Linked DNA regions of Coturnix japonica. The protein of the gene in region 2 interacts with the protein of the main gene of each other region in a pairwise test. Links are inferred from orthologs where the notes say so. Each region holds a gene or a part of one and is shown on either strand. Other genes may lie near its edges.

Evidence for each region.
Region 1: the proteins of FHL1 (region 2) and AKAP12 interact in binary tests that used the Homo sapiens proteins (3 or more experiments, as listed by UniProt). The link is inferred for Coturnix japonica from reciprocal best matches to the Homo sapiens genes FHL1 and AKAP12.
Region 3: the proteins of FHL1 (region 2) and MYBPC1 interact in a two-hybrid assay, tested with the Homo sapiens proteins (2 studies listed by BioGRID and IntAct). The link is inferred for Coturnix japonica from reciprocal best matches to the Homo sapiens genes FHL1 and MYBPC1.

Annotation. Positions count from the first base shown.
Region 1 is NC_029518.1:43,982,998-43,990,780, forward strand, and holds the end of AKAP12 (A-kinase anchor protein 12), read left to right. Parts: coding exon 1-896; intron 897-1,514; coding exon 1,515-3,425; intron 3,426-4,064; coding exon 4,065-4,073; 3' UTR 4,074-6,714; downstream 6,715-7,783. UniProt on the Homo sapiens protein: Anchoring protein that mediates the subcellular compartmentation of protein kinase A (PKA) and protein kinase C (PKC).
Region 2 is NC_029519.1:4,092,811-4,101,390, reverse strand, and holds the start of FHL1 (four and a half LIM domains protein 1), read right to left. Parts: upstream 5,357-8,580; 5' UTR 5,281-5,356; coding exon 5,259-5,280; intron 490-5,258; coding exon 308-489; intron 1-307.
Region 3 is NC_029516.1:56,617,032-56,624,814, reverse strand, and holds part of MYBPC1 (myosin-binding protein C, slow-type), read right to left. Parts: intron 7,728-7,783; coding exon 7,603-7,727; intron 7,038-7,602; coding exon 6,932-7,037; intron 6,617-6,931; coding exon 6,450-6,616; intron 4,989-6,449; coding exon 4,826-4,988; intron 4,317-4,825; coding exon 4,210-4,316; intron 3,109-4,209; coding exon 2,975-3,108; intron 1,780-2,974; coding exon 1,623-1,779; intron 333-1,622; coding exon 228-332; intron 1-227. UniProt on the Homo sapiens protein: Thick filament-associated protein located in the crossbridge region of vertebrate striated muscle a bands. Slow skeletal protein that binds to both myosin and actin.

The DNA.
Region 1 (7,783 bases), on a different chromosome or scaffold from region 2:
AAGTACTTGAATCAGAAGTTGTTGTAGAAGAAGCTATTGTAGTTGCTAAGACAATGCCAGAGATGAGAAAGGATGTAAGTGATGATACCACAGCAAGTGAGCTAGAGTTAACCTCAGAGGCAGTGACTGCTCTAGAAGAGACAGCAGAAGCTTCCTGTGCTGAAGAAACGATGGAAGTGTCCTTTGCTGAAGAGACAACTGAAATGGTTTCTGCTGTTTCACAGTTGATAGAAACTCCAGATACTACAGAGGAGGTCACACCTGTACAGGAAGTAGAGGCCACTGAACAAAATTTGAAAGAATTAGACAAACAGACCCAAAAAGTTCTTCATGAAGTTGCTGAAAGAGTGAAGTCTTCAGATGTAACGCAGCTGGATTCTGAAAGTACCATAACAGCAGCTGTAATTTCAACCATGCAAGAAAGTGAGTCAGAAGAGAAAGATGATGCTAAAGAAGAGAAAATTGTAGGTCAGGGAACAATTTTGCTTGAACAGTCCGTGAAAAAAGGAGAAAAGCTGGAGGATGATGTCCAGCCCCTGGAAGGTACAGGGAGTGTTCAGGGTGAAAGTGGAATTGAAGAGAGGGTATACGAAGGTTTAGAGAAAAGTGAAATGTCTGCTGCAGTGAAAGAAAGTGCAGAAGGAGATGAAAATGTGGATTTATTGAGAGATGAAGGCCACCAGCAGATATGTGAAGAAGCAGTTGTAGAAGACCATGAAGAAATAGCTGAAGTGCAGAGGACAACAGAGGAACCTTCATCGCAAGACAGTGAAGCAGTAACTCCCAAGGAAGAGCAATTAGCGAAGCAGAAGCTTTCAGAACAAGAGAAAGTGCCCCAAGCAGACTTGACAGTAGATGAGAGGAGAGACGACCATATTCCAGAAGTGCAGGCTGCAGTAAGTATTACATAAAACATAAATGTTGATCTGTCAGGGGAAATAAATAAATAAATATGGCACCTGATTTAGAACCAGGCTGTGGCAATATTCCTATCAAAGACCCTTGTTGTGTAGTAACTGGAGTTTGTTTTTAATGAGACAGATGCACAGAGGTCCAGAAGAAGCAGCTGCAGATATTTGTGCTGCAGAGTAGTGTGGTGGATGTGAGAACATACAATATCCATATGATACCTTACATAGAACTTGTATCTTCAGTCACAAGCATAGACAGTTGCAGCTGAGGCACTTCTGCAAAGGAAGGAATAGAAATCACGTCACTATCTCCATGTCATGCAGGAGTTACTATGACTGATTTGTTTCTGCCTTCTTCCACCATCTTTCTGGCTTAGTCTGTGTTCCAGATGTGTCAGCTGTCCGTTGTTTCCTGAGCCATGTCCTGTCAAACTGGATATGCTGGGATCTTAGTGGCCCACTAAACTCAACATACTCAACTCACAATCTTCCCATAACCCTACTCCCCTCGTGGTCTTATATTCTGCTGCTCTTGCATCCAGAGTGTTCTCAGTCTCCCCCAGCTCACATCCTTATTTACAGGACTGTTACCATTCTCCACAGGTGCAGAACGAGATTGAAGATGAAACCTCTGCATTAGGATCTACAGGAGAAGAGCCTGCAGAACTTGAAGGAGAGGGTGAAACACTCCCTGTGGGACCAGTGCGCACAAAAGCGGTTGTCGCAGAAGTCCCTGTCAGTACTGAGAGTCAGGATGAAACTCCTGAGTTAGACTTGCAAGAGCAAACTTGTATCAAAGCAGTTCCTAGCGAGGTACCTGCACAGAGAGAGGAAGATGATGCTGTGCTCCTTGGAGTAAAGAGCTCAGAAGTCATTGCTGATGAGGTCCCAATGGACAGTGAGGTAGAAACCTCAGCTCTTACATCAGAGGCAACTGGCTCAGAAGCAGCTGAGGCTGCTGAGCAGAGTGTGAGGGATGAGGATGGCAGGCAGATTACAGCAAAAGATCCTGTCCCTGTCCTAGAGTCAGAACTCATAGAAAAAACAACTGAAGCTCTCTCCCAAAGTGATGAAATTGAAAGTGGTAAAATAGAAGATTCCATGCTCAAAACTGAAACACGCTCACTGTCTGATAATGCTCTCACTGAGCACCCTTCCAAGACTGAAGAAGACGAATCTACTTTAGCATCAGCATGCCTAGATGTCACTGAAAATGGAAGCACCATCTGCACTGACGTAAGTCCTAAGACAAGCGAAATACAGAGCAGCTTAGCTGAAGAAAGGACTGCAGAAACAAAACAAGAACTTGCAGAAATCTCAAACAGTCAAGACATTCAGAAAGAGGAAAACATAAATGGGCAGTTGATGGAAACAGTCGAAGAATTTCAGTCTGGAAAACAGGAAGCTGTGAGGGATGATGAATGTTGTTCAACAGCTGTCCAGCAAGAGGTTTTCTCTGTGCAAGAGGAAGGCTGTGACTCGGCCTCTCCACCAGCTGAAAGCTCAGAGTCCCTGGAAGTGCCTGTGCCTGTAGCAGCTGCAGCAGCTGAAGAGCATGTTGTAGCAGAAGCTGCTACGCCCACAGCCAAAACTGTAGACCCCTTGGCAACCACACCAGAACAAATGGCTTCTGGTGAGGTCCCAGCTTCTACTCCCGACTATTCAGGCTGTGAGACTGCAGAGCCTGGTACTGTGGAAGCACCCCAGCCTCAGGTAACTCACGCTTATGTTAATGGAATATCAGAGAAGGAAGAGAGTTTCTGGAGTATGGATCAGCCCAAACAAAACACTGCTCCTTTAAGTGATGGTCTCACTCTCTCCCACGCGGAATCTGAGACGGATGTTGTTCCAACTGGGACTATAGAGTCCCAGAGTACAAAAATTGTATTGAACGCCATCCAGACTGCTGTTAACAAACTTACAGAAACAGAAGAGACAGCTGCCTTAGAGTCAGAACAGCACACTAAGTCCAGAGGGAAAAGCCTGACAGACACGACTTTACCTGAACTTTTGGAAAGTATGCAGGTAGTAAAGGAAGAAGAGGTATCAAGTAAAGAGCAGGAGCTCCAGCAGTCCCGACTAAGCAAGCATGCTATATTAACAGAGTCTGCAGATATTCATGCAGCTGTAGAAAAAGCAAAAGACGTGCTATTAACTTCTGAGGCACTGGAAGATGGACCAAGTCAGAATTCTGACTTTGTGACTACTCCTGAAGACATTTCAAGGGATAGAGTGAGAGTTGAGAACTCAGCATTAGAGATAAGTACCTCAGAAGATTCAACCAAAGATATCCTAGACATACGCCAAGTAAAACTGAAGGAAAAGGAGATAGGAAAGGTTGTGGAGATCTCAGACCAACATATAGGTAAACAAACGTGTGGAGAAAGGGAGGAAGATGGTCACCCACTAGTGGAAGATGGGAAAACACAAACATGGCAGGACGATGGTTGCCAAGAAGACACAGATTGTGATGGTCCACAAAGTCAGAACTTGTTGGCTCCTGAGGCTCTGAATGTAAGTAGTATTCGTAGCCAGTGATTTCTTACTCTTCGCAAAGTAGATTTTGGGATTTCTGCAATTATTGTCTCTTTTTTTTTTTCTTTTTTTTTTTCTTTTTTCCTCCTCGGTTTCAGAAAAGACAACTGCTCTCTGCTTTAACTGGCCATAGAATTCCCCACACAGTCTTTACTGTCTCTTGGGCTACTTAGCGCCTTGCTTTTTTCCATACAGATACTCACATAAAAGGCCTTTGTCTTGGCCTGTAGTTTAGTGTGATATTTCTAGGAGGTAAAAAATTATGATTTCCAGTTTTCCTAGGTTAAACACCTACAATACAAGTCTGTATAGGATTTAATCCATGAGCGTGATTCCATGCTAACAGCTCTTTGTAAAAAAAAAACTAAAGGAGGTTTTTGTTGCCTTCCATAGTAAAGTTGAAGTGCTTCTTTCCCAAAGCTCTTTGCACTTCAGTGAAATCTGAATCAGAAAAGGTGACAGTTATAGTCTCTCACACAGGTATTTGGTGTGATTGCTCAACTAAGCCACGTGACTGTCTTCAAATCCATTTCTAAAATTGTTTGAGAAAGATACTATGATGCTCTTGAGATAAATTGTCATTAATAAAGCTTTTTTTTACTGCCTTTTCTCTTTCAGTCGTGCTAAGGATCCGTGTGGCGTTCTGAGAGATACCAGTGTTAGAGAACAACTGACAATCCTGTGAGAGAACCAGGAGCTTAATTCACTACCCTTTATTCTTGGATGTTAACACCTGCTCTTTTGAAGACTTCACCTTTTTTGTCATTAAAAACCAATGCCTTTAATATTGGGTATATCCACACGTGTCCCATTCAAAGGTCATCTGCCTCTGCTGAAAATGTCCCATTTAGACTGGAGATGCACATCAGAGTGAATGGACAGACCACTAAAATTTGTGTCAGAGTTGTTGCCGTCCCCTCACTTAACTTTTCCGTCCTGTATGTCCCATGTCTCTTGAATTCTCCATTCATCCCTAAAACCCCTACCTCCTTTCTGCGGTCCCCCTTACTCCCACCATCTTCCGTAGCTGCCTTGATTTGACCAGCGAGCGGCCACAGCTGCTGCTCGACTTCTGTGCTGAAGGGGAGAGCTGACTGAAGAGAACACATGAGACTTATGGCTGATAGAAGGTGCGTTTGTCAAACAGCAGGAACTGGATCACGCACAGATTTTTGAGCAAGGTGCTCAAGATTGCTGCCTTTCAGTCCCATTCAGGTATCTCTATCTGTCCTTCGATTGTGCGGGCCTGATTTAGTCAGAATTTGTTTCTACAGTGTAGCTTGAAAGGAGGTTGAGAGTACTCTTTTTTTTCTGTTCAAGACTTCAGGTTTCGAGACTGGACTGTAACGTGTTGAATATTTATATGTATGTCTTAATCCCAGTTCTGATTTTAATGTAGAGCTCTGATACTTCTGTACTGTTTAGGCATACCCTAAAAGGAATTTTGTAGAGTAGCCTGGAGAGGAAATTCATACTGATGGAGTGGAATTCAATAACATATAGTTTCATATTTATTGTTCCAGGTTTATCCCCTTGTAAAATCTCTCCAAAACTTGGCAGTCATGCTTTGAATATTTATATGTAAATCATAAGCCCAGTTCTGATTTTAATGTAGAATTCTGATATTTCTAAAGACAAAAGGAGAGCCCTGACCTGTTCCAGATCCAACTGTGCTGACCAGTGTCCCTTCCACTTGCAGTCCTCTCAGGTTTCTGAGAACCCTTTAGGCTTACCCTTTCCCTGCTGTCTTGCTCATACAGCAGCCCCAGGCGTACCACAACCCTGAATCACACCCTGCTCTTGGCAGAGTCTGCTCAGTCCTGATCACAGCCCCATCTATCCCCAGGATGTTACCTTCACTAACATCATATAATATTCACGTTGTATACAAGTATCCTCCTTTCCCAACCCATGGCTGAACCATCCCATCACAGCATTCCCCATTTCTTGAGATCCTTGTTGCTTTTACCAATTCCCTGAGGGTGGGGGGGGGTGGGGTAGAGAGGGTAAGGGCTTGGTAATGAATTCTGCCTTGGATTGCAAAAGGCTGAAGAAAAGCTTGTAGTACTGAGTTCCTAACAACCTTCACCTAAGCTGGGTTGAACTGAGAACAGCTGCAAACTGGGGTGAGCAGGGTGATCTAAAGACAGAAAGAAACCTCACTGGGATTGCCTATCCCCAGCAGGAGTAGGTCCTTCCTTTTGTTGTTTACATTAGAATCAAACATGGGCTGCAAGTCAATCCTTTCAGCTCTGATTTCGAAAGTGAAGGTTCCAGATGGCACTTTGTGAAACCGATGCCACCAAGCGAACAATAGCTCACTATCCTACCTGTATAGTAATTTATTTGAAAATCAACTCTTAGTGTACAAATGCTCTTGTTACAGCAGGTGCTCGCCTCTCCTCGGGGCTGCACATACAGCAAGCAATGTGACTGATTGCACTGGTGTGATTGCACCATCTGGTGCTGCCCTGCGTGGAAGCATCAAGAGATTTTTCCTTACCTCAGAGCAAATTATATAAATATTTAAAGCTGAACAATGTGGTTTCAAACAATCCAGTCTGTCTTTGTCCATTGTTAGCGGCAGCTTTTTCCCCCTAGCTTTGGGCAATTCCAACAATCTCTGTTGGTTTCCACAGGTTTAAATTGGCTTGCAAGTTAATCGTGCTCTTAATAACACCTCACAAGTGCAAACTTGGCTGAATTTGTACAAACTGTATACCTATGTACGTTAAGCCATATTGCAATAAATGCAGCAGGTAAAACGAAATAACAGTAGCATGACCTGTGTAATCCCAGTTCTTATGTTTGTAGCTCCAAAGCTGTTAATAATATGTAAAGTTAATTCTTGTCTGAACCTCATTTAAATAAAGCTAGCTTTATCACAATGTAAATTGTCTGTTGGTAGTAATTGGACAGGCAAGTGCTTCAACTTGCTCGTTTTCTCCATTAATCCAGGGCCTAGGTAAGCAATGCGACAAACATAACTGTAAAACAAGTACAAAAGCTTCTTGTAACTGACAGCTGACAAATATCGCGCCTGAAGCCACGCTAACGGTGCAAGGAGCACGGCTCCACCTAACGATCCCACTTTGTTCCGGTGTATTGCTTTGGCCTCTGAAACTCTCATTTGAGACTGTGACTTCTGGCTTGTGCTTAAAAGCTTGAAGCTTTCTCAAATCCAATGTATTGGGTTACCAAATCTGATTTTTGTTTTTAAGGTAGATTTTCATTAATTAAATAAAATACAACTAAAATTTTCTTCTAATGTGTGTGTGTGTTGTTGTTCTTTTTTTCAGCTTTACTTCTTTTTGCTTTATCTTCAGTGAGTTTGATTTGCTCCTGATGCTAAATCCATTGTCAGTAAATACCTGCACTAGTCACAGGAAAGGCAGGCGCTGAAGCGCTCAGTGCAGGATGCTGTTTCCTCCTTTGTTTCATATTGCACCCATGGGCTCGTACTGCAGGTGCCTAATCACTGCCCAGCTCAGCAGCATCAGGAAGAACAGACTAAAGCAGCAGCTCCCACCAGACTGTGCCTGAGGTGCACAGCTGTAATCCTCTGCCTGTCCTTGTGCAAAGTCTATGTATTTATGCTATCCTGTTACTCGTTAATATGAGGTCTCTAAACGGCCATTAGTGTAGGGACTGGAGACGAAGCAACCTGAAGCACTGGAGGCTGTTTTGTTGGAACAGCTTGAGTATCCTGCCTATTAGCTCAGGCTATGGAGTGGATCTGGCTCTCCTGTTTGGATCAGCACACGTGTGAGGCAGCTGTGTGCACAGAGGGACCTGCATGGCCTGGCTGCAGCAAGTGCCTGGGGATGGGCAGGCTGCCTGCCAGAAATGGGATGCCTGAGGTGGCCTCGTGTGCTTGCTGCAGACTGGAGCTTTGTTATTCACAAGGCCATGAGGAACTGGTGCCCTGCAAGGAAGGGCATGGCTTGGGATGGAGAGGAGAAGCCCGGTGGGACTGGCAGCACAAGGTTTTGAGACCTGGCCTTGGGGAGATGGATGAGATGTGTGACCACTTCCACAGTGCTAACAAGGTGGGAGTTTGGCCGTTTAGTCTTTACCAAAGGGAGAATGAAAGATTATGTGTGAAACACCCATGTCTGTCCTGCTACAAAATTCTCATGGAAAGTTTTTAAAATAGGATGAACTGTTTTCTGAAGTGTCTCTGGTTCCTCTCTAGCAAATGGCTTCCATTGCTGGGAAGGTCTGCCTAGCTGAGCTTTTGGTGCTGGGACTGATGATAGGACAATGTGAGGGCAGCAGAAGGCCAGCAAGTCATGGAAGCTGCTTCCTGAGAGTGGTCTCTGCATCGCATCTTGCAG
Region 2 (8,580 bases):
GCCCTTCTTCTTGCTGAGCGGCATACAACCAAGTTACTGCCCCAATGGTAGTTATCATCACATACAAAAAGCTGCATCTGTGAAGAGCCTAAACGCACTTTGGGATTTGGGGGGTAGCACAAGGTGCTTCAAAGCTAACAACTTTGAGATGTGGGGTTCCATAAGCAAGGGCTACTTTTCATCCTGTGCCTTCCAGTTCAGGTGTATGTTATTATTGCCATAGACATAGCAGCAAACATTTACAAACTGATTTAAGAAATGACAATAATCAGATCCCATGTTCCTCTGAGTGCACCGAAGCAGTTACCTTGGAGTCAGCACCGATGGGTTTCTTGCACTCGATGCAGGTGTTGGCACAGATCTTCTCGAAGCACTTGACGCAGCAGTGGCGGCCCTCCTTCTGCACGTACTTCTTGCCTTGCAGCGAGTCGCGGCAGTAGTGGCAGTCAAAGCGCTCCGACATGGTGCCCACGCTGTAACTGCTGGGCCCTGCGGGAGGGATGGGGGTAAACTTACAACACTGAGGTAACTGTTCTGGCTTGACAAGTGATGAAAAAATGGCTCAGCTATGAGCGTGTGGTGGTGTCGTGTGCCTGAAGGGCTTGTTGCTGGAGAAAGCAGCTTCTGGGACAGCAGAAGTTACCTCAGCAGTTCTATCAGCTCAGTGCTTGATAAAACAAGCCAGCTCTCCGCCACCTGCACCAGCACTAGAGCTTTCCATGTGCCTCCAGGATAGGTTAACACACCATTGGGCTCAGGATCTGGGCTGACTCCTGGGGCCACCCAGCTTTCTGGAAGCACCGTGCTTGCAGTTAGCACAAGCAGTGTTTTAGTAACGCAAATATTTTCCTTGGCCTTAATAGCCATCCAAGATATGAATGCTAGATTTCTGCCTACAAAGAGGCAGGATGGGCTCTGGCCAAACACAGAAACGCAGCTCTCAGCCTCCTGGAGAATGACCTGCTGTGTTTGCTTGCCCCATGGCTCAGGGAAGAGCAGGGCCACACGACAGCCTTTCCCTGTCACCTTATTCAGAGGAAGAACACCAGACTGTTTTGGTTCATGTCAAGCAGGGATAATGGTACCTAATCACTCACAATGACTTGGGTCATCATGGTGGACCCGCTGCAGCCCTGGCGAGATCCTGGCTGAGGCACCGCCTAATTTGTGTCCAGAAATCACCGCCAACCAAGAGCGGAGCAGAATAGTTTCCATGCTTCCAGCCCAAGCCTGCAGCCAGCTGCAGCCCTCCAAGGCCTTTTGTGCCAAATACTTGTGCAGCTTCCAGCTGTCTCTGTCACTGGGCTTTCATATACAAAGTCACGAGGAACAAAAAAAAAACCAAGAAAATATCTCCCTACACTTAATGAAATGCAGCAGATCCCTGCCTTTCCACATGCCCTTCCTCAGAGGAAGCCTACAGAGCTCACAGGCCAGGCTCAGCACCCAGATGGAGCCAGGGCACCAAGAAGTTCAGATATTCTTTTCCTGACAGAGCTGAAGCACCAGCATGGACTGAAGGAAGGAAGCGGTCAGGCCGTGTGGGGTAGCTGTCATCCCAGGAATAGCTGCACAGTGCCCATCACTTGCCTGCTGGGTGCTGCGTAGGCAGCCCTACCACTTTATGGCACGAGCACCTGCTTACACAACAGCTACTTGGGCACCTGCCCACCCCAGTAATTCAAGAATTACCATCAACCGCATAACCCAGGCTGCCAGCCATGGAATCACTGCTAAGCCCCTGCTCATCAAACACGAGCATGCATCAGATTGAGCAAGCCCTGACCCAGGCACAACCACACCAACACCAGCCTGAGCTGCAGATCAAGCTGGAGCGTTTCTGCTCCAGAAACCAGGACAGATGATCCCAGGGAGAACAGTGTGGCACACGGAGGCTGCAGCACAGGCAGGGGCCAGGTTCACTCCCTTTCCCTTCCTTAGAACTAAGTGAAGTGGGACAGAGGCCGAGCTGGCCAAGGTTGCGCTCTGTGGGGGCTGGGGCTGGAACTGCTGTTTGGCCAAGGTCAGGAGACGGCCACGTCCTGCTGACAGCCACGCCAAGGGCTGTGTTTGTACTGCTTCAAGGAAGTGAAACAAACAAACAGCTGGGAAACATGGAAACTATGCGAGCCACCTCCAGCCCTGCTGAGCTTCATCAAGCGAGCGGGTTTTATTTAGAAGAAATGCAGTTGCACAGAGTCCAGAGCAAATGGTATCTTAACGTTCTTCATCTCAGGTTTGGGTTTGCTTTCAAGCAGAACATGTAATTGCGAGCATATGGCTCAAGGAGTAACACAACCCTGTGTTCCTGTGTAACACAACACGTGCTGACATGGGAAACATTTATGACAGCAGCTCTGAGCCTCACACACAATTAACACAGGGTCTGGCAGCCCGCAGGAGCTTTTGCCCACCTTGAGCCATCTCACGGCCCAAAAGCTGGACTCAGAAACCAGGCAGTGGTGATGGAAATGGAGGAAAAGCATGGACAGACTTGAACGGTTCTCCAGCCCGGGATGATGTCCCCATGCAGAGGATGCTATGCTGAAGAGGAGCAGATTAGGAGACAAATTGCAAGCATCTGGTGAAGGGCTAAATGCACTACATGCCTATCCCTACACAGCCTGCAGGGCCCTCAATAAAGGGCTCAAGGAAAATCCTGCAGTACTTTAATTCTCTTCCCGTTCTTACCCCAGAGCTCAGACTTCCCAGACAGAAGCATCACCAGTTTCCCAAAAGTTACTCCAGAAACTTTCTCCGCTTCCCTCTCCCACCAGCCCTGGCAGCGCACTGTCTAAATGCAGCTCCCTGATGAATTTGGCTACAGCTAAAGGGCAGATAGCCAAACCAGTGGCCTTCTCAAGTATCAGGGCATTTGGCACAAAGACCCATTGGAATTCAACACTAACATTCACCTGAGCATAGAGGTACAAGTTAACCCAAAGGAGCATCTGCTACTTTTCAAAAGCAGCCCCTCAGCCCTCAGACAGCACTTGGTCTTTCAAAAGTCTCCAATAATTGGGCCCTAGGTCTGCCTACAGCCAGTCGTAAGGGCTATGTCTGTAAGGCATCAGGCTTTGGGATGGAAATGGTGCAGATCTAACAAGTGAAGCAATTGCATTAACACCGACCCTACTCGTCCCTTCAGTTCCCATGGACCCTATGCTGGTTCATCCTGATTCAGTCAAGCTGTATATCACCATCAAGCCCCTACACCATGACATGGCACGGAACAAATTAAATCATAGCACTTTGCAAACAATGCTGAAGCATAGCTGATAAGCAAAGCACTTAGCACAGGGCGTGTGTTAATGTCTCCAGGGAACGTGTTTCAATGTGATAAACCACCAAGGAAGAACTTGAAGTGTGGTCTCTAAAACCAACCAGGGAAACTGTACTTAAACCTTACGGACTTACTGCCTTTACCCTTTCTCCAGGGTAGGAAGGAAGAGGCCAAAGCTGTTGACCCTCTGCTGGGGTGTGGATACACTGTGAAAGAGCAGTTGCCTTTTGGCTCTCCATCAGCTTTGTTTTCCTCATCAGACAGCTCCTGTACCACTGGGCAGTGACAACAACTGCCTGTCTGGGCTCAGGACCTGGCACTTCCTGGTGTGTCACCTGAGTGTCTACTCAGCGTTCTTGCAGGCAGTTTTGTGTATTTTGCTATAAGAACCAGGGAATACCCTCAAAAGAAGGGAACTATTAATCAGAAAGGAAGAGAGGTGCTCAGGTCTGCATCTCAAGGTCACCGGCACAGTGACTGGACAACATCTATTCCTTTCTGTTGGCTTTACATATCCCATGCAGGTCATTTTTGCTGGGAGGGTTGGCAGTAAAGAGCAAAGATCCGTGCTCTCTCGCTGCCAGGCTGGGGCACGTGTGAGTCTCATAGTCTATAATTCAAACATTAGTCTGTTGATAGAAGAGAATCTTCTTTATTTAGAACAAGAACAGCTCCAAGTTCCTCAGGCTGCTGCCAAAATCATCCCCTACGGTCCTATTGCCACCATGTCTGAGCACATCTCTATCATTATTAAATCCTGTCAGTTTCCCAGGGGAGAAGGGACGTGCTATTTAAAAACACACGCACTTCTACACTTAATACGGAGCTCAGCTAAGGCTAACAAAGCTCCTGGCGTACACAGCACCACTGCTCAGAGCAGGGCTGAGCACTTAGGCAGCCTTAGTGTAAGCCTTTCAAAATGACCTAAGTCAGCTAAAGCAAAGTTCTGTTTGGCACCTAACTGTGGCTGTCTTCTCCCCAACTACACCCCATGCCTGGTGTCCCCAGGGACAAGACACGAGGTTTTCTCTCACTGCATGGCTCAAGCCCCTCTGCAGGCATGGCAGAACCCCATGGGAGATGCCCTGGGGATTGGGGCTCCATGCTGGTCCAGAAACAGACACTGACTTAAAACTCAGTGGTGTCAGCACATGCTCAGCACTAGCACTTTGTATCACAGCTTGTGCTGGAAGAGCAGACCCTGCCTGTGGTTCGGGAGATGCTGCCACATCCATCTGCCTGGCAGCAAGGCCAGATAGAGGTTCCTTGTTCAGCCCTGAGGGGTGGGATGTTTCTACACCCTCTGACAGGAGCACAAGACTTCAGGTATCGCTGCTGTCATTGCTTCATCTGCGCAGTGCATCCCAGTTTGCATGCTGGCTATTTCAGCTTGTATTGATTGTCAAGGAGCTAGAGCATGCAGTGCTTTGGTGAGCAACCCTGGTTACTTGTCCAATGAGTTCAGTAAAACAGGAACTGGGACTCAGCTCTGTCTCATCTCAGTGTAGTGCCTGAACCACCAACAAGAGGCACATGCATAATAAAAATAACATCAGTGCTGTGTGTGTGTGTGTTAATTGTGATCAGCGCTTGAAGCACTTGGACTAGAACCACTCCAATGCCAAACAAAGCCTGGGCCCTGCACCAGAGAACATCTACACCAAGGAAGATGACAAAGACATCTGGAAGTACGGACCCAGCCCTCCCACAGCAGCAAACACAAAGCACATCCAAAGCACACTGCAGGTAGACGAAGCCACTGCCACCTGTGCCCCTCGCTGCCCTGCTCCCAGCACTGGTCCCACACACTGCTACCATTAGTCCCATTCACCACCACTAGTCAAAGCTGCAGGTTGCAGAGACGTAAAACCACATTCAAATGAATTATTTCTCTAGAGTCAGACGCCCTTAGCAAAATTTTCTTCCCCATTTACCACACAGAGCATACATGCAGACAGCAGCGTGTCCACGTTACCTGTGTGCCTGTGGAAAGCCATGATTACCAGCCCAAAGTCACAAGCAACAGAGTGCACAGTCTCTTGGCTGATCAGAAGCTCCCCCGTTTGATAACATACATTTAAACGAAGGCTATTAATACGGACAGGACTCCTACCAGATGTCCACTCCCCTCCCCAGAGATCACAACCTTAATCCCCCTTGAAAATTCTTACCATTTTAGGTGATCTGAGGGAGAAGAATAGGATCGAGAGACCTCTGTAGGCAACATGTAAATACCTGCCCTGCTACTCAGCACCCAAATTAGTCCCAAAGGCAGAGAGTGCCTCAGGAACTTGACCCCATGCTAGTACTATTTGGCCTTGGCTTTAGAGCTAGATTGTGTCTCATATCAGTCCTGAGCTAAATAACAGACCTGGCATTAATTCTGACCCCTGTTGCCCAAGGGAAGAGGAGAATCACAGCCCCCAGGGCCAGCAGGGCTGCGGTGGAAGGAATCAGCCCCAGACCACACATAGGGGCTGTCCCCTGGCTGTAGGGCCCAGAGCAGCCATAGGCTGTATCTTTGGGGACACAGCTGAGAGCCTGGGAAGCACCAAAAGGTACATTCATGGGAGCTGGACTTGTCTTCAAGGCAAGCTGAAGTCTTGGTAAAACCACCATGCCTGGGCCTCCTCCAGCTTTTACTCTAAAGCAGCTCAAGGCATTAATCATCCAAAGCAAACAAGTCCCTGAAGTGCAGCACTTAAAAAGCCAGGTTTCATGTTCATGGGGCTTCTCTAGTATCTAACAGCACAGCTGGGCTCCCTCCCCCGTGGGATTACAGAGCCCTGGCTGGTGCCTCTGCCCTCTTTGCCCACATGCCCACGAAGCTCTGTACACAATTTGAACCCACACAACTACTTCCACCTGAGCCATGGCACGGAGCAGAGGGCAGAGGGAGCTCTGCTTCGGGGCTCTCCTGCATGGAGGTATGTGGGCTGAGGCAGCTCCACAGCCCTGTTCTCCAGGTCACGCAGCCAGCAGCACTGTGTGCACTCGGGGCTGCGGCCAGGGCCGCCCAGCTGCTAATCCTGCTTCGACACTGACTCAGTGCACGGCCGTGGGAAAGGCAGTTAACCTCCTGACAGCCAGTGTTTATCATTCACAGGCCAACACAGCGCTGTCTGGCCTTTGAGCAGCCACACAACAGCACATCTCTGCTCCTCACCAAGGATGGCACGAGCTCATCACCATAGTGCATGATGCACAGAGCCTTCAGCCCAGCACTGGGCTGTATGGGTGTCATCAGTACACGTGCAAGGTCAGCATCATCCCAGCATCCTCATGTTTTCAACGTTGCCTGGAAAAATCACACTTGCCAGCATGCCATCCCTGAACAGACCACCATGGACCCACTCATGTAGCAGTTTGAGGCTGGGAAATGTGCTAAAGGACAAGCACACCAAAATCCCTTGGACTAGGAAAAGCCTTACTTTACTCTGCCCCAGCTCACCTATAAGCTCTTGCAAACTGTTTGAATAATTCAGATGGTAACAGGAACCGCAACAACTGCTGTTTTCCTGTGCTAATCTTGCAGTGCACAGTGTAATATTTACAGACATGAGTTCATTTTTGGCAATACATGTCAAGTTAGCACCATTAACCATTCTCAAAGAGCTGACGCATTCCCACATGGCTCTCATTTCTTACTTCCCCCTAGGATACCCTCTGTTTTCAATCACAGAGAACAGCCTTTGCTCCCCATCCTGAACTGCAGCACAGCACTGCCAGGTCCCACCCAGAGGTGGCTGCAGTCCAGCTGCGGTGCAGCAGCATCTCAGGTACTTGGCCATCAAAATGCTTCATGTGCACAAATGAATTTGCAGCAACAACAGGCATGGGCTGGAAGAGGTGGCAGGGAGGAAGCTCAACCAAACAACAGGAGCAGGACGCAGGAATATGATACTGCTGCCCATAAAGTTTCACCATGAGTCTCCATGCAGCAGCATTTTACTGCACAGCTCAGCCTGGCAATTCCCCAAAAGCATTCCATAATAACAAGGACATTTTGCTTGAATTTGTGGCCTCCTGGGCCAGTGCAGCAGGGACAGGCTGGGAACAAGCCTTACTGAGAGGACAGGGCTGCTCTTGTATGTTTTTTGTCTCATTTTAGCCGTATGACCTTGGGTAATTCCCATCTCCCCCCACGGGTCTAATTCATCCCTGCAAGCCCAGCTCCTTCTGAATGCAATTAAACACACCAGTGGCGCAAGGTACAGCACAAGCACCAAGGAGGGACACTGTCTCCCTGTGGATCACGACATGGAACTGAAGCTACCAGGAAAGACAGCACGTCCAAGAGAAAGGAGGGGAGTCCCTACCGACAGCACATCCCACTCCCAAGCACAACGCACAGCCGTATGCAGTATCACCATGAGGCCCCTGCTCCCACCCCATCCATGCCACCACTCTGTGCCAGAGCTGGGCAGAGAGGAAGGAGTGCTGTGAGCACACAGCAGGGCACGCAGGTTTGGGTTTTCATGTCTTTAGCATGAAGTGTGTCCTGTGGGTTTTCAGCACAGCAGGATCTGGACACAGTGATCCCACCGCACAGGTCTGACTGCAGAGCAGCATGGCTGGCACATAGTGTCATCTGCTCGGATAGACAAATGATTCACATTGTGCTTTCCAGAGTATTTTCTTGCCTTAACAATCCTGCCAGAAAAGGTCTGGGCGTCTCAGCTTGCCCACACATCCTGCTGTCACTCAAGAGGCTGTGGGTCCTAAATAGAGCCAGTGGAACCCAGGCATTGATGAACTATTAGTCACCATCATCAAAGAAAGAAGCAGGGAGCAGTAAATACGAGCAGGAAGGGGGCACCTGTCCACTTCTTTGGCTAACACTTCACCTTCTGCTCCTATGGGCTCCTATGCTTTGCAATGCACAGTGAACCTGCACAGAAAAGCACAGCAGTGATTCAGCCACTCCATGTGAAAGCAAAGCAAGAGCCCAGGTTTCCTTCCAGGTGGTGGAAGGACCACGGAGTGGTGTTTGCACTGGGAGGGCTATAAGCAGACAGCCCCACAAAGAGAGGGAACAAGGATGATTTCCTTCCTACTGTGCTGACCTCAAGCCCAGAGACTGGAATCCTACCCACGTGGCTGGGTCCTTCCACCCAGGGGAAGCTTTTAGGATCAACGACGGAGATATGGCACTGTGGAAGTGGGATTAAGCTGATAAGAAGACATGCACAAGGTAGACAGCCCTCCATGAACTCAGATGTAACGTAAGTAGAAACAAAGGGGGGAAAAGAAAGGAGGATAAGAAAAGAGGGAAAAAAATAAGATGTAGTAACAGA
Region 3 (7,783 bases), on a different chromosome or scaffold from region 2:
ACTCTTCAAGTTTTGCCTTTATAAAAAGTTGTTTTCGAGTAGGGAGAATGATAACAGATAAAACTTATGATAACATCAAAGAATGGAAGCAATATTCTTTCAGTAGTCTACTCAAAGTGTCACTCTCCAGTACCAGAGCTGAACTCTGATACTGTGATGCCCATTACGTAGAGTGTGTTTCTTTTGTCTATATTAGATCATCATCAAATGAAAGGAAAATTATTTACCTAAGATGGGTGATCCACCATCATTTGCTGGAGGTTCCCATGTCATAACACACCAGTCTTCACCCACCTCAGTCACGTTTGGTGCCTGAGGAGGATCAGGCACATCTGTTGTAAAACAAACAAACAAACAAACAAAAGTGAAAAAAAAAAAGATCTTTCCTATCTATGCCTAATCTATAATAAAATATATCAAACAAGAAACAAATCTGAAGTCCAATAGGTAACTTAGAATAGAAAATGTAGAGTCAGCCACAAAAATAATCTTGTGTTGAAAAGAAATTGTGAGAATGAATGGAGAACAAGTACATTGGTAAGAATGGATCAGCAGAGGGAGACAAAAACTCATCACTAAAATGTGATTTGAGAAACAACATTCAGAATAGTAAAAGACATAGCTGCTGTGAATATACTTGGCCTTTCTGGACTGAATTCTTCACAGGAAAGATATTCTAACAGCCATTTAGTGTCTTGAGATTTGAGAGCACCTGCTTTGCTAGTCCTTCTGTGATCTTCTATGAGTAATTCAAGTATAGCTTCACAAAGACCCATGGGCACTTAAATGTTTTCTATCATTTTACATGACATTTTACTGATAGATATATTAGTGCAATACTTGATTAAATCTATAACTTTGAGGTAATTGGGAGTAACGCATTAGGGAAATTACAAGTGTTAGAAAGGGCTACAGAAAGGCTGAAAAGGGAGCTACATGACATCGCCAGTAGAAAAATGACATGGGAAAAAGTCATAAACTCGCCTTTAAAGTTCCAAATCATTGTTTTCTGGAATAAATACTGTAATAATGCAGGGGAGTCCTCTGTGTACCTAAAATATATTTGCAGCCCTCATTTGTACCTCACTCTCTTTGGAGAGCGAACTTTGACCATTGATGCTTCCATGGCCTTGCACATTTGGCTCAGAGCATCTCAAGCTCTTCTTTGCACAGAGAAAGGATGTTTTTGTGAATCCTGACAAGTGGGATAGGAAATGCCAAGTTCTTCAACACTGTCAAATTTCTTGAGGGGCACTGAAGGGAATGTGCCAAGAAAGGGCCACAGGCACCAGGAAAATATAGAATGCTTGAAGCAAATAGAGGCAACTTCAGAAGCTTAGGTGCAGCAAGGTGAGGTGGCAGCAGGGGTGATAATTAACTCCTACTTAAATTCCATACTAAGTTACCATATTCTTCATTAACTTTGTGCCTTAGTATCCTTGCATGTCAATTTCACACCTGGAAATGAGGAAAAACAGAGGGATAGCAGCATTTGGAGGAGAGATACAGAAGAAGAATTTGGCTGTTGCTGGAATGCAGGAAAGCAGTGTTCTCAGGGATCATTTATTGAAAAAAACCATGGTAAATGGTATCGCTCATGTGCATTTTTCCACATGACTTACCGACCACTTTAATGTTGATAAGGGCTGTGTCCTCCCCAGCTTCATTCTTTAATGTTATTCTGAAAGGACCTGAATCTTCTCTCTCAGCTGTGTCAATGACCAGGCAGCTGCTGTCTGAGTATGTTTCTGCCCGTATTCTTCCACTGTCTGTGATCATCTAGGAATCAAAGTACGACAAAAGTAAGACAAAGTAAGCAGAGGGAAAAGTCAAGTTTTCTGCTTTAAGAACCAAATGTTCAAAAATCCAAGTTCAAGTGCATTACAGAACACTTCAACAAAAATTTTCTGAAGAGAAATTCACATTAAAGCTCAGTATTTCGGTCATCCGATTGTCATTAAAAAAAAAAAAAGAAAAAAGAAAAAAAAAGAAAAAAAAGACAAACTAAGCAAGTGATAAATAAATAAATGGCTTTAAAATACTGTACCTTTAGTACTCAGGTCAGCCATTACATCTCAAAGGAGGGTTCAGTAGGCTCAATTACCACATAATCAAGAACATGCTTTAATCAGCACTACTTGATGGAAAGAGAGTAGTGAAATCTTAAGAAAGGTTAAATGTAAAATATTTTAAAAAGATTCTTAAATAAAGAATCTTAAATAAAACTGTAGTGTAATTCATTGAGTTGAATGATGAGATGGATAGTAAGGGTCAGTAATTTGTCCTTGTTGTAAAAACACTTACACATTTTTGAATAAGATCTCCTAGGGGAGCTTCTCATTTGAACCAGTCTGTGGTGTTAATAATACCACTGATATTTGGAAAATACTAGTAAGATTTGATGTGATAGGCCTGACAAGTCCAGCAGAAATAACATGTAGCACATACCAAAATGAAAATTTAAATGTGGAAAGTCTGGCTTTTTGGTATAATATACTCGGGAGTGCAAAGTTTAGCACAAAAGACACTATACGCAAAACAGTAACTGCCCAGGCTAATATTTCATCCTAGTCTCGATTCTTCATCAGAACTATTTATTTTATAACCAGACCTTACTATGGCTCCCTGTCAAAACTGCTGTTCTGGACATTACACATACCGTAAGTAGCTGACTGGTAGATTTTCATTAGATTTCTTCTGCATCAAATATATTCACCTACTTTAAAATTTATTTGTAGAAAAAGCATATTTTTCATCTTAGCAGTGTCAAGTGTTTCCTCAAAAAGATCCTTAAAATACTAAACACTATTTATCAGTTTTACCTTCACAGTTGAGGGAGAAGAGTTTTTAAGTGCGACAGGATAACGTATCCCATTTTTATTTCCTTCCATATCTTCACCAGACTAAAGATTGTTTTGTTAAGGGAAAAAAATCTCCTCATTGACCTTTAAAAACAAATATGATGTTACTGTACCTTATCCCCTCTACTCCACATGACTTTTGGTGTTGGCTCGCCAGTGATAGGTATCTCAAGGCGTAATTTAGTTCCTGCCACTACTGTCACAGTGTTATTTTCCCCAAGACCATCAAGGTGAAGTTTAGGAGGATCTGAAAAAGAAAAAATTGCCCAAATTTTTATAGGTCTTCCTCTTCCAAAATTTAGGAACCTGGGAACAAGTGTGAGATACAGAGAAACACGCTCTGCTGCTCATATTTTCCTGGTATTTTTACTCAATATCTGTTTGGAAGTAAAGTAGAGAAGAAAAAATTCTGGAAGAAAATAATCGATGAAGAATGAATCATAGAACCATAGAGATTTGGGAATAGTAGGTCCATAAAAGAAAAACAATCCACCTTCCTGAGGCAGGATTGTTTAAATTTAGATAATGTGAGAGAGATTTCCAATAATTGGCTCTTGAAAATTTCCATTGTAGATGTTCTACATTTGGAATTGTCATGCTCCAAGCATCATTATTCTCTTATTGCCCTAATATTTTAAACTTTTTCTTAGTCTAAATACTTTTCCTGGAAATGAAATGATTACTTCTGTTGTACTCCATGGATATTGAGAACTGATGAATGTGCTCTTACTTTAATATATTTTATCTGTGAAAGTACCCACTCTCTTTTCATTCTCCCTAATTCTTGACAATCTCATTTCTAATGTAAGTATCCCACTCATCATTTACAAGCCATATTTTCTAAAACTTTGATCATTTATATTGGTGTCATTTAGACTTCACATTCACTGCCTGAAGTTAAAAGTCAGTGGGGTACTGTTGTGGAAATCTTATTTAACTCTCTGGGAATCATTAAGCGTAAGTATTGTATAGGCAAATATGTACCTACTGAAATATTTTACTAAGCTAAAAGATATCTTGAAATATAAAAAAATTCCATTCTTCGAAGAATACAACACTGAAGGTCTGAAAAATTATACCAAGAACTACTTTACATGAACTGTTAACAGTAGTTAAAGTTTAGGAATTCAGCCACGCCAGGCTTGTAAACTATGACCAGGTCCTGAGGTAAAGTACTCTCTTACTAGCTCAGTGTCACTTTGCCAAAGTAGCAGCTCTGTGCTTTGAAGTAAGCACCTGCTCAGAAGAAACAAACTGATTGTATTCAAGGATATATCACACAGTTTTCACTTTCCAAGGGTAAAAGAGAAGGAAATGCAATTTGTAATTTGTTGTGCCAAGTACTTACCCACAACATGTACTTTGCATGGAATATTAATATTATAAGCATCTGGTACAAACATGTATTCAGCCTCATCATCAACAGCAGCACTTGCTATGATAAATCTATGGATTCTGTAAAAAAATGAAAAAGAAAGCCATGTAAATTATTTTTGAAGACTAGTTGAGGCTATGAGGAAAAATCTGAAGAAAAAAGTTTAGGAGATCTGTGCAAGTGTGTAAGTCTGTGTGTGCAAAAACAACAGCAACAACAACAACAACAAAAAAACTATCAGAAAATAGTATTGTTTTTAAGTCTAAATATTCTTAATAATGCCCCCAAATTGTTTTGCCCTTACTACCTAATATCCCATACTAACAGCAACAGCAATGTCCAGAAAAAAGAATCTCTTAAAATTAGATGTTTCAAGTATTTTATTATTATTGCCTTCCGCAGCCAGAGGACAGTATGAAAAAGGAAAAGAAGACAAAGGTTTTATTGTCAAAAAACTAACTGTGTTTGAAGGACAAAGTTTAGGCTTTACATATTGATAATACATAGTTTCCAGAGAAATAACCCTCATATTGGTACATCTTTACAATGTCACTTCATCAAAAATCAAATCAGTACTTGACATGCTTACCTTCCTTTGTGATAAAGCTTTACACGGTCACTAGCTTCAATCAATTGTCCATTTTTGTACCATTTCCCTTCCACATTCTCTGATATCTCACATTTCAGGTGTATTTCCTGTCCAAGCCTCACTGTCTGGTCTTCTAGTGCAAGTGATATCTTCAATGGTCTCACTTGGGAAAAGAGAAGTAGATATATTAATGTTAATATCAAGTAACAGCTTATAAGAAATGCTGATCCAAAATATCCATGCCCTGAGCAGGAAAACCTGATCTGTATTCACTTGGAGTATATTTGAACTCTGTCTTGGTGTCACTGGTGTTCCAGTGCAAGATGAATCCAGTAAAAAAACTTTCAAAATGTGGAAGGCTTGTGTCCCTAGGTCTACTCTTAGAGTGCACAGGTCTACCTACCCTTTTCTGCCATCTAACTGCTTACAGAGGTCTCCCACATGAAACAAGACAATTTGGAGACTTAACAAAGTAGTTAATTACAACTATTCACTGTAGTTATGAGCCTCTTGTGTCAGGCTTTTATCAAAGGACATGGTGGACAGTGTAAAGTTATTTCATACATGGCTTCTCCTTGTGTTTGCTAAGCTGCCCTAACTGCCCCTGTAAAAACACAAAGATATTACTAGCTTTTGTTGAACTTGAGGCTGAGAACTTGTGCTTTCTGGAAGATCAGATGCTAGAGACCAGAGTCTAGGCTGAACACACAGCATGTGCACTAAATATACCTGCCTATAATCTGACATGTGAAACAAGGAATGATGGAAAATAACTGCATTTTACAGAAAGATAGCTGGAACATTCTCATCAGAAGAAGCATGAATTTATAAGTGTGGCAGGCAAGATTAGGGAATCCAATGGCTACAGTGTATCATTTTCAGCTTGGTAAGAGAACTGTGAATTGTTTGTGCTTAGGACGTAATTTTGTATAAAATAGTTAAAAGCATAATGTGTGTATGTATGATATATGGTAAGTTCACAGACTGTAACAAATTTACCACAAACACGTACTCAGAATCCATCTTGCTCACCTATGCCAGTAAGACCAAATCTACACCTACTCGCAAAATGGCCATCTGCCTAAAACCAAAGTGGCAGATTATAAAGATGCATAGATTTTGCTGGAAACCACAAGTGTTTTAAAGATATATTCAAGCAGTACTGATACTGTTTGATACTGAGATACATAGCCTCATTTTAGTGCCTTTAGTTTAGTTCAAATGGCTCTGATGCCAGTTAAAAGTACACGTAGTAGTAGACTTTCTTATTTTTTTTCCCACAATTTTCTTTTTTCCCCTCTTTTTATCTAAAAAGTCTTGGTTTTGTCTTTCCTGCGAAAGCCTGAAAGGATTCAATAAAAGCAAGTGCTTCCCCTGCATGTTTCAATTTGTTGACCTGTTATATCTTTTCATGGATAGCTATGTTTTCCATCTTAATGAACAGACAGTAATTTTCAAGCAGGACTAATTCACTTTCTGTAACTGCAAACTGAAGATTTGCTGCTAAGACATTGCCATGGAAGATAAAGTTGTCTTTAGGCCCTCAGAAAAAGGCAAGCAAATTATTACTGTTATTTAGCAAACTATGACCATTAATATCAAGAGCAAGATATATTATACTTACAATCAACAGAAAGCTTGGCTTCTGACTGGCCTCCTGTTGTCATTACGGAGTAAGTTGCGTTGTCATTTTTTGCGGCCTCCTCTATTATCAAAGTGTGTTTTTTACCTTCAACTTTGATTCGATATCGAGATTTAGGATCATTGGTAAGCTCTACACCATTCTTAAACCTAACAGAAAAGAAAGAGTGATTATTTTCCCAATAGAAGTCCAGTGTGAATAAGACTTTCATAAACCGAAACTTCTGGAGAAGACTTTGCAAGACTTAAGATACAAAAAAGTGTTAAACAAACTCACCCGTGAATGTGTAAGACTGTTTTTGCTGTTACTACTTCACTGAATAATGTTCTCCTGAGGATTTTTAACTGGTACTGAAAATGCTCTCCTCATTTATTCCTACACATAAAATCATCTTTGCTCTGTTCCCCCTCCCCAGCCCCATCTCTGTCTCAAGGTAAACAAAGTCTATTGAAAGAATGATTTACCATTTAACATTTGCATCATCCTCAGACACTTCGCAGCTCAGTTCTACGCGTTCGCCAACATAGGTACTGGTATCTTCCAGGCCTTTGGTCACCAAAATTGGAGGATCTTTGACAAGATAAAATTATAGATTTACAATCTTAAAGAGAGGTGAAGGAGGTTTTTTAAATCATGCTATAGGAGATAAGACTATCAACACTATGGGATCGAAAATGTTAAGGGAAAGGCCACTCATTCATAGGTTTTGGTACAGTCTTCCCTTAAGTGTTGGCAGATGAAACTAAAATCAGTACTTTAATGCCTGATTTGATAGTATCTGGAGCAGGTCAGTTGGACCATTATGAGGGTTGCCAGGTAGTGTGTAAGGAAAAGCCAATACAGAGACAAATGAGTCTCCAAAATGTCTTTGAAACTAAGGAGGACCACAGTCCCACTAAATCCCAGTGGACAGTAAGAAACATGAAATCAACAGTATCTCCATTTCTGAGTTTTCACTAAATTACTAAGTACAGGATGAAGAAAAATGATCAGGAATGATAAAAATACAGATTAACCCTGCTAATACAAATACAAACACACACTGAGCCATATCCTTCCTGTTAATTTTTTCTGCAGTTAAAAAAAAACACATCAATTTACACCAGTTGAAATGGGAGCAGACTGGTGTAGTTACCTCTCACAAACAGTTCTGTGGAGCATTTCTCATCACCAGCTGTCACGTAATAGCGAGCATCATCTGTCATAGTACAGTTATTGATGAATAAAATTCGCTGGTTACCTTTGTGCTCAAAAATGTATCTGTTTGAATAGAATACAGAAAAGATGCATTAGCAAAACTGCTGGATCTCTCCTTT